Lytechinus pictus: one gene and its partner. The protein of the gene in region 2 interacts with the protein of the main gene of each other region in a biochemical or structural test. Links are inferred from orthologs where the notes say so. Each region holds a gene or a part of one and is shown on either strand. Other genes may lie near its edges.

The links. The genes of interacting proteins can lie anywhere in the genome.
Region 1: the proteins of importin subunit alpha-1-like (region 2) and exportin-2-like form a complex in vitro, tested with the Homo sapiens proteins (2 studies listed by BioGRID). The link is inferred for Lytechinus pictus from reciprocal best matches to the Homo sapiens genes KPNA2 and CSE1L.

What each region holds. Positions count from the first base shown.
Region 1 is NC_087261.1:28,251,676-28,258,862, forward strand, and holds the start of exportin-2-like, read left to right. Parts: upstream 1-4,086; 5' UTR 4,087-4,363; exon of another isoform or gene 4,364-4,471; intron 4,472-7,187. Other genes in the region: nuclear pore complex protein Nup153-like, read right to left, coding at 3,627-3,707. UniProt on the Homo sapiens protein: Export receptor for importin-alpha. Mediates importin-alpha re-export from the nucleus to the cytoplasm after import substrates (cargos) have been released into the nucleoplasm.
Region 2 is NC_087248.1:5,553,268-5,560,744, reverse strand, and holds the start of importin subunit alpha-1-like, read left to right. Parts: upstream 1-4,419; 5' UTR 4,420-4,520; intron 4,521-7,477. Other genes in the region: protein DGCR6-like, read right to left, coding at 82-242, 815-954.

The sequences.
Region 1 (7,187 bases), on a different chromosome or scaffold from region 2:
TGGGATTAAATTGCTGATAATACAATGAAACTGTTATTTAAACTAAAAAGTTATTTTTATAATTTAGCTCTAAAAAAAAATAGATATAATTGTTATTTGTTTAGACCTGTTTTTATTACTTTTTCTACTTGCCTTTATCAAAGATTTTCCACTGTTGCTTTTACTCTGCTTGACTCATTTTTTTTATTTTATTTTCTATTTTTTTTTTTTTTTTTGGGGGGGGGGGGGTGTAAATAGTTACCTAGAGGTATGCAAATTTTGGCGTATCCTCTGTTATGAATTTGCACCAGCTCCACCACTCCACCTGGGCAGCTTCCTCGTTGGAGTAAAATAATAAATATATGTCTTCGTGGAGACAAAAACTGCTGCAGTTGATATGATAAACAAAACAATATGCCTTTAATGTCATAAAGACATTGATATCTTTGCAATACGCCACAGCAGGCATTGTTGCACGTGTTGCACTGCACCGTATCGTATTTGATTTGATGAATGAAATGAAAATAAGAACGGGTTTCATGACATGAACCAAAGGGCACAGAGTAACTTGAACTTGTAAATGGGGAAATTCCACTCAAACATAAAAGATTATTCTAAGCATAAAACTGAAATAATTGATATGTTTGATACAGTGCTATATTGTTATGGATGTTTATGATTTAGAGGTAAAATTAATGTTTATGATATAGAGGTAAATTATGTTTGTTTCTACTGATACTTTTACCGATGTGTTCAAGTCACCCCCATTAATAAATTAACTTTCTAACTTTAATCGACAATGAAAACAAGTTTCATGAAAACAAGTTTCAGCTTGTCCTGCCTTTTTCACCATGGATCTTCACAGATACGCTCCTCTAAACCTCGTATTAAAAAAAAAATGCATTTATGGGACAATATTTACCACTTCTGAATTTTTTCTAAGTCTGGTAACAACATTTGCTCGTTGTAATAATATTCCATACCTAAAAGAAATATTTATGGACGTACATATTTTCGTGTTCTTCGGTAATTTCGAAAAAATAATCATAGAAATAGATTGGTACAGACAATGGCCGGGGTGCATCACAGGCACATGTGAGGTGTTTTTAGTTTAGGTGAGTACTATTATTACGTTTAAATATATATATATATTTTTTTTTTTTTTTTTTTTTAATAAGGCCTATGTTTTTAATTACAGGAAATCACACACAATATTTACATAATTAGACATGATCGTAAACAAACAAACAAAAATAAAACAACATTTAAAAACGTAAATTATAATATATCTTAAAATTGGCAACGGCATGTCATGACTGTGCATTTATGCCTGGGAAGCTAGCTAGCTGCGGCCGGTCTAGTACCGTATACGCAGTGCATCAGTACCGGGTGCGCTGGGCATGGCAAGACCGTGACTACGTTCGGAGTTCTGACGGAGAAGAAAAGATGGAAATAACTTCCACCAAAAACATGATCTAGAAGTCGAATATGTCAAATGATCATCATTTATAGGTATGAAATATGAATCAACGTTTATTTTTAAAGAAAATCGTAAATTTCTATTTATGGGGAGAGTTTTACTTTTTAGAATGCATTTTTCGTAAATAACGTCTCGTGCACAAGCTACCACAGACTACGAGCCGGGCTGCAGCGGCAAATTTAAAATTGAATATTAATTTAAGGAGGTCGTTCGAAACTAGCTATTCATCGACCATTTTACGTGACAACTAGCTTCGGGGAAGTTAGGGGGCTGAATCGGTTATCTCTGTCCCTTTCTGGTCTCACAAAGGCCATAGTTTGACACTTAATATCTTCACTTTTTGGAAACCTTTGGAACTGGGAGTTGGTATGTTTGCTTTGATTTTGTTTTCTCTTTCATGTCATTGTAAATAAAAATGTGAAGACGTTCAAATAAAAATTTTAGGATTTCAATTTGTCCACCCTAGTATTGGTTTTAACGTGCATAGGTTGTGACTCTCCTATACACGGGACCAACATTTGCGTCCTTTCCGATGGACGGAGTGTTTTCCAACTGCATTCACACCCGCACTGAACACAGCGGTGAGGCACGTTAACACACAACGCTAGCATCAGTTTTTTTGTTAGACGTCTTCCGGCATGCTGCGGGACTCGAACCCACGCACGTTGAGATCTACGATCTTTTCCGGAACAGGCGCTCTAACCGACTAAGCTACACTACACTGAGGTCAGAAGCCCATTTGTTTTGTGTGTGATTTACAACAAAAATCCTTATCAAAACAAGAGTAGACGGTGAAAAGGGGTAATTTTTCATGAGGAATCTGCTTATCACATTTTAATTTGTCGCCAAGGTAATCCTTTTGCAGCAAATGTAAACAAAGGAAATTGGTCTCCAAAACTGGAGACTGTCTCTGAAATTGGATACCCAAATTCTTTACAAAAGTCTCTGATATCAGTAGAGGCGCACGGCCAATATGGGAGACTCTCTCCAATAGGGGAGACAATCTCCCACATTGGAGACTTGCTTTGCAAAAGGACAAAAGAAACAACACCAACAAAAGTATGATTTTTTCCATCCAAAATTTTGTCTCACTGAGGTCAGAAGCCCATTTGTTTTGTGTGTGATTGACAACAAAATTCCTTATCAAAATAAAAGTAGACGGTGAATTTTTAAAGCAGACGGTGAAAAGGGGTAATTTTTCATGAGGAATCTGCTTATCACATTTTTATTTGCCGCCAAGGTAATCCTTTTGCAGCAAATGTAAACAAAGGAAATTGGACTCCAAAACTGGAGACTGTCTCTGAAATTGGATACCCAAATTCTTTACAAAAGTCTCTGATATTGGAGATAATCTCCCACATTGGAGACAGTCTCCAATATTGGCCATGCGCCTCTACTGGATATTGGAGATAATCTCCCACATTGGAGACAGTCTCCAATATTGGCCGTGCGCCTCTACTGACGATTAGTTAAGAAGTACCGATGGTGATATTTTGACGCGAGATATGGTGATTTAGGTAAGAAAATTTCACTTTTTATTTGAGATTTTGCCCAAGTAGCAGGATGATTTTGTAGTGTGAGAGTTAGTGAATGTGTAGTGTAAATGTCTAGAGTGTGTTGGTGATTTCAGTGGTGTATTGCTGAGCCTGCCGAACGGCCGCACACCGACGCAGTCCGTAACAGTTGGGAAAAACATTAGATGGCGGCGTAAACATCGGGCGAGTCTCGTCCATCTTTTCATAATATTTTGCTCATTTTTTTGATGAATTCTTGTTTAAAAATGAAATCGATAGCGTAGAAATGTTGGAAATTAAGTTGTATCCCATAGTTTTTTTTGACAATTTGGTCTTTTTTTGGAAAAAAATTTCTCAATCATTCTCGAACAGATTCACTGGTCCTTACATCATCATGTACGGTAGGTCAAATAAAAAAAGGACAAAAGTAAGCTTATCTATCAACACCCCTCATTTTCTTTAACTTAATTTGAAAATCAACCTGTCCATTCATTCACATACATTACACACACGCAGCGGCACACATCGCATGGACACATTGGTTTCTACATGTACGTGCATGTACGTCATGCACGTCGGATCGACATGTATTTTCAATACGGTTAGCAATGGCAGTTTGGCACGACTGCGCGTGTGTGATCATTCATACTCACCTTCGGTTTTGGACGTTCGTATGGTTTACGCGAGTAGTGAGATCGTTTCGGGCGAAATTTACCACCAGACGGGGTTGCCATGGCTAGTTGAATATGAACTGACCGCCACAGCAACCTTCACAAGGGTTAGAATAAGTTGATAATCTTCGAAATTAAGAAATAGCTCGTAGTGTTTCCATTGAATTTCACAGTAGATGAGTCAAGATGGCGGCCTTTTTCAAAGAAGTTGATTGGTTAAATGTCACGTGATTTTCTGCACTTTTCCCCTTTTATATTACATGTCTTTTGTCACTCGGTAAACGTCGATTTTTAGGAGTCAAATCGAATCGAAATTAAGCTGGATGCATCGATTAGTTTAAAATTATTATTGAATTACTTTTAAATAATTTTTTAATTTTTCAAAAAGTTAATTTAAAACTCATTTATAAACAAATTATTTTAGAGGGTACTTTTTTATTTCGCCATTTTGAAATGTTAGCGCGCGCGCGTGCAGTGCAGTGCTCGTGCATGTTACGTAGGTCTACGTATAGGCGAGACGTTGGTGAATGAATGAACGTATCGGATCTGCAGCGTACTACTACGGTACCCCATCGCTGCCCGGCGCACTGGCTGTATACCGCCGCTGAAGCTGACCGACCTCCTGGCCTGTAGCTGCCGCTGCAAGACAGATTAACGTTCAAGCTCTTGTTGAATCTAGATTAGCTCTTCCTCTTCCTGACGAGAGATCCAGTTCTTGAGTGAGTTGAACTGAGGAGTCTCTAGAATAGTATTAGGCCAGCAGCTACCAGTCGGACTCGGAGCCGCTAGCTGAGCTGAGTGTTTTTCTGACTTCTGTGAGTGTGAGTGTGACTGGAGTGTCAGTGACAGTGTCATGTCAGTCACTGAGGCTGAGCAGTAGAGGCGCACGGCCAATATGGGAAACTGTCTCCTATGACTGGCATGAGAAGAGATTATCTCAAATATCAGAGACTTTTGTAAAGAATTTGGGTATCCAATTTCAGAGACAATCTCCAGTTTGGGAGACCAATTTCCTTTGTGTACATTTGCCTCAAAAACTAAACTTAAACTTTAAGTTAAACTTAAACTAAAAGTCTAAAGTAAAGTTTACCTTGGCGGCAAATAAAAATGTGTTAGTGTTACTGATAAATATTAAGCAGATTCCTCATGAAAAATTACCCCCTTTTCACTGTCTACTTTAAAAAATCACTGTCTACTTTTGTTTTGATAAGGATTTTTGTTGTCATCCACACACAAAACAAATGGGCTTCTGACCTCAGTGAGACAAAATTTTGGGTGGAAAAAATTACACTTTTGTTGGTGTTGACTGTTGTCAGTGTTGATTCTTTTGTTTTGCAAAGCAAGACTCTGGCTATGCTATTTTTTCTGCGTATCCACTGGATCTCGCAGTTCTCCAGGACTGGAGGAAATCAACAGAAGAAGAAGAAAAGAAGCTATGGGCATGATGGGAGATTATCTAGAGTCGTAGATAGTCTCCCATATATCATAACCTTGTTCATTGAATGAGTGCCCATATTGGCTGTGTGCCTCTACTGCTGAGGTTCATACTCATAGTCATAGTACATACTCGTCATACATTATTTACATAACATAACGTTAGACATACACATAGGCTGAGGCTGTGGCAAGATTTTTTTAATGATCACCGGCTGCAATTGCAAGAATGACAGAAGTGCAAAAACACTTGGTATTGAAAACTCAAAGTAGAACCAAAAAAATTAATGATTTAGGGTCTATTTTTTATAGCCTAGGCTTAGCCTTAGCTTAAAGGGGAATCCAGCCTTGGCTATAAAATGTTGTGTTGAGAAGGAGAAAAATAAATTAAACAGAATGGTGAAAGTTTGAAAGAAATCGGACAAGCGATAAGAAAGTTATAGCTGCTTTAAAATTGAGATCACTAATACTATGTAGATTTCAAATTGGCAACTGAGTAAGTAAATTATGACAAGGGGCAAGGACAACTTTCCCATTGGCCAGGTACTTTATTATCAGGGATTTGTGGTTTTCTCCTAAGTCCCTATTCCCCTGGGGCAGTAATCTAAATATAACCCAAGTAGTATATCGTTTTATGTCCTCATGAAAGAAAAATATAATTTGAAATAAAACTTTTGGGGAAAATGACATTTTAGCCATAATATGTATTGGAGTACATGGAAGAGTAGTCCTTGCCTTACATCACTATGACTTCCCATATGCGGCCAATTTGAAGTCTCCATGGGTATAGTGATTACCAATATTTATGACTTTTAAAAATTCATAACTTTCTTGTTGTTTGTCCAATATTGTTCAAACTTTCACCTTTCAACTTGTCTGATTTTTCTTTTCCTTATAAATACAAGTTTTTATTTGGGTTGGATTCCCCTTTAAGTTCTTTTGAATGTATGTCACCGACAGTCACTGTTGACTTGTTGTGTTATTTAACAATTATTTTCCTGTTTATTACTTGAATCAAACATTCATCTATTGTATCATTCATTTTCATCTTGTAGTTGTACTTTGTATTTACTGTAGGATGGGGGTCGGGTGTCCGGACACTTATATTTTTGAAGCCTTCTTTTTTGTCTTGGGATTACACTAAAAACATGAATTCAATTGTTGTAATCATCTTCTATTTTGTTCTCTACAATATTTCCGTACATTTTGTAAAAAAAATTGATGAAACTTCGCTTGTACATTTTTCCAAATGACTTTCTAAAATTGATCGTCCGGACACACAACCTGTCCGGACACACAACCACTCACTGGCTCACTGCTACCATCCTGCCTGTGGGGAATCTACAGGTAGGACTATGGTAGGACTGACCGCGATTTATCGCTAATCTCCGAAGAGCGGAGGATCAAAACAGAGAGAGAGAGAGAGGGTATGCCAATGCTGTATAGAGCACACACTTTAAAAAATCATTAAAATATCACTTTTGTGACCAAAATTATATTAATTTATATACAGTTGCAATTCAATTTTCATTAGTAACTTAGAATAATTTTTGTGTTGACCAGGGGCCCGTTTCTCAACACATGGACAAGTTAGTCATATCTTTATCCACCAACCACGGAGTTAGTTCCAATCTTACTAAACCTGTTTCTCGAAAGGCTTCCTAACTAGAATACCTTGATATCGATACTATCGGTAAAAAGAGCAGATGAGACGTAGCCTTAGTCACAAAATAGCATAATTTTCAAAAAGAAAAATTGTGACAAAAATTGCAAATATTATGATGAATTGGGAAATAAATCTTTTGAAAATAATAGCACAGGTGAATTATGCATCATACATACTTAGACCATGAAGACTGGATCATTCAATTGCTGAGAAAATCAAATTATGAATAATTCATTTCATGACTTAAAAATCACTTGTGGACGTTGAGATGGGTACCCCCGGGAGACCCAATTTTAATAGTTTACGAAAGTAAACCATAACGGTTTTCTCTGTAAAATGATGATAATTATACAGACTTTTACGATTCCAAACGTCATCAAAATATAGTTTAACGAAACATTTTTAATCATTGATACCGGAAGATACGATATTGGACAAATTAT
Region 2 (7,477 bases):
CGGGGCCACTGATAATTGCTACATCTTAGGCAATCATTTGGCTTATTGAAGGTCACCTTAGGCAGGGTCAACTGTACTTACATTTGTGACTACTATGGAGTCTTGCTCTCTGTTCCATTAGTTTTCTCTCCATCATCTGTTGTATCTCAGAGAGATGTTGGACAATCTCAAAGACAGTTCCATCCAGCAGAGATAAAGCTAGGTTAGATATGGTTGTGTAGGGTAGCCGCTGCTGAAAATTCCTGTTTATAGAAACAATTAGTGCATACCTGAATTATGTATCCATGATCCATTCAAATAAAGTAAAATCTGCATTTAAGTTGATCTCTTGGGACTTTAATAACACATGTTTTGCATTTTCTATTGTCTGAGAAAATGCCTCAACTCAGGGAAGGCCCTGTAACAAAATATCAAATCAATTGTAAATATGAATCATCAATGTGTCTAGATGAAAATCCATCCTCAGAGTTACAACTCACTATAATTATTCTTTTTTCCGGTTAAGCATCTAGGAATCATAATTCATATACTAGAATTGCCATTAGTGATATTACATCTCATAGATTGATTGAAAAGCTCATTATTTCTGAAAATTCTGAAATATGCTTCCTTTTATTTCAATATTTTAATTTCACAAATTGAATTAGCATCTTTATTTCAGCACAATTTATTGGAACAAAGAGAAATCTGTTTGACTTGTAAGGCAAATTCAACTTGTAGATATGTAAAATACACCTTGCTTTGTAAATTATGATCTAAAAATTGCTTTAACTTCTAGAAGGTTGACCAAGACAGACTGTAGTACTGTACTCACATAGGAATCTGCCGAGCCATGTCCTGTAGCTGACTCAGCATGGTATAATGACGTTCTTGCTTCTGTCTTTTGATATCCACTTCTGATATCATGTAGGCCCCTTCTTGAAAACTCTCCTGCCCTTCATCCCTAGGGTCCATCTTTATGAATGGCCTTTGTCTCAAGTGTGTACACCAGCTGTTGGGATACTTGAATTAAAGGCAAACAAGCATACATATTCATCACTATAAAATGCATATCAGATGTAAAATACAAAAGTTATAAATGTAAAATGTTTCATTTTCAAGAAAGAGTGATAAGCACAACAAATGTTGCTGCCCTCTATGTCTGTTGATCAAAACAAACCCCAATTATCAAGTATAAATCCGAAGTACTCACAAGACTTATGCGACAGATGTTAGTTATCGAAAAATAGCTGTCATACATACAATGGTTTTATTCCATTAGCCTGGTACACTACACAATCAAACAGCTAGGGCAAGAACTATTGGCATGAGTATAATCTCGTATGACAGTCATTACAAATCACTGTCAGTCACATAGCTTTTTTTTATTAGCGTTGTGTCCCCATCGTGATCAATAGCTGGATGGAGCTCGTATGCTGCCGAACGTGCACGTACATGTACGACCTTGAGGCTACAGAATAGCACTCCATGACACAATTCACAAAATAACAGGCCATATCAATGCATTAAGTAACAACACACACATACGCAATAGAAAAAAATGTGGAACTTGGTGCATGCTTGACCTTAAAGTTCTTGTAAAATAAAAAAAGCAAAAAGTTTTCAACCAAAAATTTAGGGCATTTCGTCCACAAATTCTTTTTTAAAGGTCTTCACTTTCAAAATGGGGGGGGGCACACTTGTATTTTAACAGAGGTAGAGGTGTTGTGGCTCAGTGGATAAGTCTCTGGACTTTGAACCACAAGGTCCGAGGTTCAAACTCCACTGCAGCACTCGCATCCTTTGGCAAAGCGTTTATCTACATTTGCCACTCTCCACCCAGGTGTAGTTAATGGGTACCCGGTAGGAAGGAATTCCTTGAATGCTCAAGCGTCTGATCGGGATAGCCGTGCTAAAGCCAGGGTAATAGTATGCAACGCTTAGAAACATTTGTATTAAAGGGGAATCCAGCCTTGGCCATAAAATTTTGTGTTGGGAAGGAGAAAATAAATTAAACAGAATGGTGAAAGTTTGAAAGAAATCGGACAAGCAATAAGAAAGTTATAGCTGCTTTAAAATTGAGATCACTAATACTATGTAGATTTCAAATTGGCAACTGAGTAAGTAAATTATGACAAGGGGCAAGGACAACTTTCCCATAGGCCATGCACTTTATTATCAGGGATTTGTGGTTTTCTCCTAAGTACCCATTCCCCTGGGGCAGTAATCTAAATATAACCCAGGTAGTATATTGTTTTATGTCCTCATGAAATAAAAATTAAATTTGAAATAAAACTTTTGGGAAAAACAACATTTTAGCCATAATATGTATTGGAGTACATGGAAGAGTAGTCCTTGCCTTACATCACTATGACATCCCATATGAGGCCAATTTGAAGTCTCCATGGGTATAGTGATTACCAATATTTACAACATTTAAAAATTCATAACTTTCTTGTTGTTTGTCCAATATTGTTCAAACTGTCACATATCAACTAGTCTGATTTTTCTTTTCCTTATAAAAACAAGTTTTTATTTGGGTTGGATTATTTATCATTAACAGTATTTTTACATTACAAATTTTAATCGTGCCTCTCAAAATGGGGGGCACGGGCCGGCTGTGCCCATTCCTGGATCCGCCAGCGTATCAGGCCACACCAACGCCTAAACAATGCACACACACACAATGGAAAAAAGTGTGAAAATTTGTGTGCAATCGACCTCTTGGGGTAATTTTAATAGCCTCATAAGACTGATAAGACTGTGCTGTAGCTCTACCTAGCTGATATCAACGCTAGAACTTCTAGAAAAAAATTACGCCATTTAGTGAAAAAAGTATTATAATCTCCCTATAAATGTGTTATGAACGCCCAAGCCGTCAAAACCTTCTTGGCAGGTACATTGTGAAGGCAGATCAAGGACTCGCTTGCCGAAGGTCCCAGCTAGATAAGGATTCTCTCCTTCATTTCTGATCAATTTGTTGCATTTCAGTGAGCAAAATTAATTTCTCAAACTCCTCTCCCGACAGTGACAGGCATAACAAAGGAGCACAAGAGAAATAGACCGATCAAGTGATTAGAGGCCGGGATATGGACAGAGCAAGAGAAAGTGTGAGAATGTGACAAACACCACCCCCCCCAAAAATAGACTCCTTATAAAGTTATAGATCTAGACTACGTATGGCAGTGTATCCTATTGCCGGACACAGGTACCTTGAGAATTTCAGCCGTCGACGATCACCCACAATACACAACATTCGATCGAAGGAGCGGAAGAGATTGAAATTCTACAAATCAGGCCCATATTTCTGTCAGAAAATATATCGATTGTTATATAATATTTTAAGCATTTTCTCTCATTTTTAGCCTTGTTTTTGCAATCTTGTTCTTCTATGTATTGTTCTGTGAAATTGAACTGCAGAAGTCTTGCAGTACAAAATTGCTTTCGTACGCAGTAATAATGCACGTCAGGAATCATAATCATAATAGTGTCAGGTAATACGTGACTAGACTATATAGTCTAAATATATATTCAATTTCTTTTACAATAACCAAGAACATTCCTGTGCACGTCACGCGTCATCGGCATGCCCCATTTTTTCTTGGCCTCGGGCTCTTCCCTCAAAATTATTAAGTCAACCTCATCCAGTCCAATCAATCCAATAAAAAAATAGTCCTTTTTAATTTTAGTTTTTCATCAAATTATATGGTCAATTGGCTAGTCAAAGTCTAGATCTAACAAACGTTAGATCTAGTTGATTTGGGTAGCTGTCACAAAACAGGAACTCTTTCCCATATTTTTATGGTTACTTATTACTTAATTTTAGCAATCTCTAGTAAAAGTCTGACTCTGATTCTGAACAATCAATGTCGCGCGCTGGCTACTGACAGTGACACTCAGCACTAGCTAGCTCTGGCAACAGGCATCCTAGCGCGAATTGAATGAAAAGTCCCCCGAAACTCAAGGCGGCCTCATCTCAGACGTCGCCTCGCCCTCGGTCTTGCCAGCATGAGTCAGACATTTTATAATGATACTCGCTCTCTCATACTACTCAAAATCGTATAATCAAAATTATTAAATCGTTTGAATTTTCTTCTGTGTGTTTAAATAAAAATTTACCTCACAAATCTAACACTAACTTTAGGAATGCCTGAAAAAAGACACGTCTAGACTCTGGCTCTTCCTTTTTTCCTTTCTTGTTTGCGCATGTAATCTGAATGATATCGATCATGATTATCGATATGCAAATTAATTATGCACGAACCTTTAAATTTCAAAAATCGGTATGAAAACTTAGTTGGAATTCTATTTCCTTGCATCTAACTCAATAATATGTACTTTTAAAATATTATATAGCTATTTTAACGAATAATTCTACTAATATGTAACTGATTAGTTTGTTCTAAAATCACAAATCTTATGCAAATTGCCCTCATGAATATTGTTATGATGATCAGCCAATGAACAGCTTTCTTTTTCGGCTCTTTAAATAAGGCGCATCATTGGAACTTCATTTCAGAGTTCGATATCGGCACGAGCAGGTGAGCCTCTTTGTCTCCTTAAATTTGTTTCATATTTTTACTAAAAAGAAAAGAAAATTGATACGAATTAGTTTGTTTTGAGATTATAGAAACTACTGTAAATAATATGCTGCTTCATTTTTTTGTTTTTTGGATGTGAATTCAATGATTTGATGATGTTTTCTGGCATGTCTGGGAGACTTGATTGAACTTCGTAGGAATGATCTGCAGATCTGTGACTGTGGTCTGTGTGTCAGAAAGACTGTGTGAGTGTGAAATGCATGACTGCGCTGTCTGAAGTTTTGGAATGTTGGGCAGAGAAGTGAGAGAGTTCAAGTTCGTCTTTATTTATCCATAGGCCTATTGGAAATCTGTTTTGTTCACAAATTCAATTCAAGTTTACAAACATAAAAAAATGCCTTAATATAGGGGCCTAGGCCCTATATAAATTAATTAGGCCTAGGCCTATTAATAAAACCATATTATTTCATGAATAATACTAGAATTTTCAACAGTGAAAGTAACTTGAAAAAGACCGAACATGAAATTTGAATTTAAATTCTGGATCAAACCATTTTAGAAGGTCTATCTTGTATGCCCAGTGGTTGTGTGTCCGGACGGGTTGGGTGTCCGGACACATGACTTTTACTCTCAATTTTGAAAAGTTTACAAGCAATGTCTTTAATTCTTTTTAGCACAGAATATAAGAAAATATTATAAAGAACAAATATTGATGGTGAAAAAAAACTATTCAACCTATATTTTTGGTTTATTCCTGAGATAAAAACAAGGCTTCATTTCTGTTACGTGTCCGGACACCCAACCCCCCATCCTACTTAGGATGGGGGGGTCGGGTGTCTGGACACTTTATATTTTTGAAGCCTTTTTGGATTAGGGGTCTACACAAAAAATATGAAATCAATCAACTTCACTCAGTTTTGCTCTGACTCTGTAACTAATATTGCTTAATGCCTTAAAAAGGGCAAGTCCACCCCAACAAAAAGCATATGCTGCTTCAACTGTCTACTTTCAACTGTTAACATGTATAATTTGTTTTTAGCTGAAATTTCTTGTCTTCCTATGTATTTTCCTTAAGCGCTTAGAGACATTCTTTGTGATAAGCGCTATATAAATGATGTTAATTATTATTATTATTAAGAAGAATCTAACAGAGAATAACACTAAAAAATTCATCAAATCAGATGTAAAAAGAAAGTTATGACATTTTTAAAATTCAAATTTTGCTTGATTTCACACCAGTTATCCTGGTCGGTATGCAAATGAGGGGACAGATGACGTTACCCACTTACTATTTCTTTTGTATTCTTTTACGTGACATTTGACATGGTCTGATTTTCTCCATATTATCCTTTGAAACAAAGTTTTATTCCTCCCTGAACATGTTGCATTAACCCCTTTATTAAAGGACAAGTCCACCCCAACAAAAAGTTAATTTGAATAAAAAGAGAAAAATCCAACTAACATAACACTGAAAATTTCATCAAAATCGGGTGTAAAATAAGAAAGTTATGACATTTTAAAGTTTCGCTTAATTTCACAAAACAGTTACTCAGTATATGCACATCCTGGTCAGTATGCAAATGAGGAGACTGATGATGTCATCCACTCACTATTTCTTTTGTATTTTATTATATGAAATATGAAATATTCTAATTTTCTCCTCATTGTCAAGTGAAACAACGATTAATTCCTCCTGAACATGTGGAATTAGGATTGTTTAATACTATTTGGTTCAGTCAATTAAGTTGGTCCTCATTGTCAAATCTGTAAAAAATGAAATATTGTATAATTCAAACAATAAAAAACAAAAGAAATAGTGAGTGAGTGACGTCATTGACTCTCATTTGCATGTCACTGAGTTGTGCATATCACTGTTTTGTGAAAAAATAAGCGAAACTTTAAAATGCCATAACTTTCTTATTTTACATCCAATTTTGATGAAATTTTCAGTTCTGCTAGATTGATTTTTCTCTATTTATTCAAATTAACATTTTTCTGGGGTGGACTGGACCTTTAACATTGTTTAACATGTGGTTCAGTCAAGTTTTACATTGTCAATTCTGTAAAAAGTAGAATATAATAATTGTGTAATTGAAACAAAAAACAAGAGAAATAGTGAGTGATGGACATCATCAACTCATTTGCATATCACTGAGTTGTGCACTGTTTTGAGAAAAATAAGCAAAACTTTAAAATATCATATCTTAATATTTTACATCCGATTTTGATGATATTTTCAGCGTTTATTCTTGCTCGATTTTTCTCTATTGATTCAAAAATAAAATTAACATTTATCTGGGGTGGACTTGACCTACAACAGCTTATGCTAAAAATTGATAGAACTTTTCCAAATGGCTGTTTAAAATCGATTGTCTGGACACACGAACTGTCGGGACACACAACTGGGTAGATACCCAAAGTACACATTGCCCTTTTTCTCGACATTCGATTATCTGCGGCACTCAAATTATTTTTGACAGGGATGTGCATGCCTCACATTAAAGGGTACTCTGGGTTGAAAATATTCATAAAATAAATAGAGTAAAAATTCACAGAGCAAAATGCTGAAAATTTCATCAAAATCTGATAACAAAGTTATATTGCATTTTAAATTTTTATTTAGCAAACAGTTGTATGTCATGAATATTCATTAAGTGGGCTGATGTCACATCCCCTGATCCCCACTTTTTTCTTTGTTATTACATGAAATCATGTGTGAATGAGTATGTCTCTCAAAAAATAATGAAATAAGTTGCAGCTAAATGAATATCTAATGCAGATCAGTTGTCAATCCAAATTTTTTTAGTTCTTGGATAAACAAAATTGAATAAACCTAATTTCATATAATAAATGAAATATGACATCAGATTGCTCATTGAATATTCATGAAGAAATGCATAGAACTGTTTCAACCGGAATAATGCAAAATGAATCTTGTTAAAGGGGTACTCCAGGGA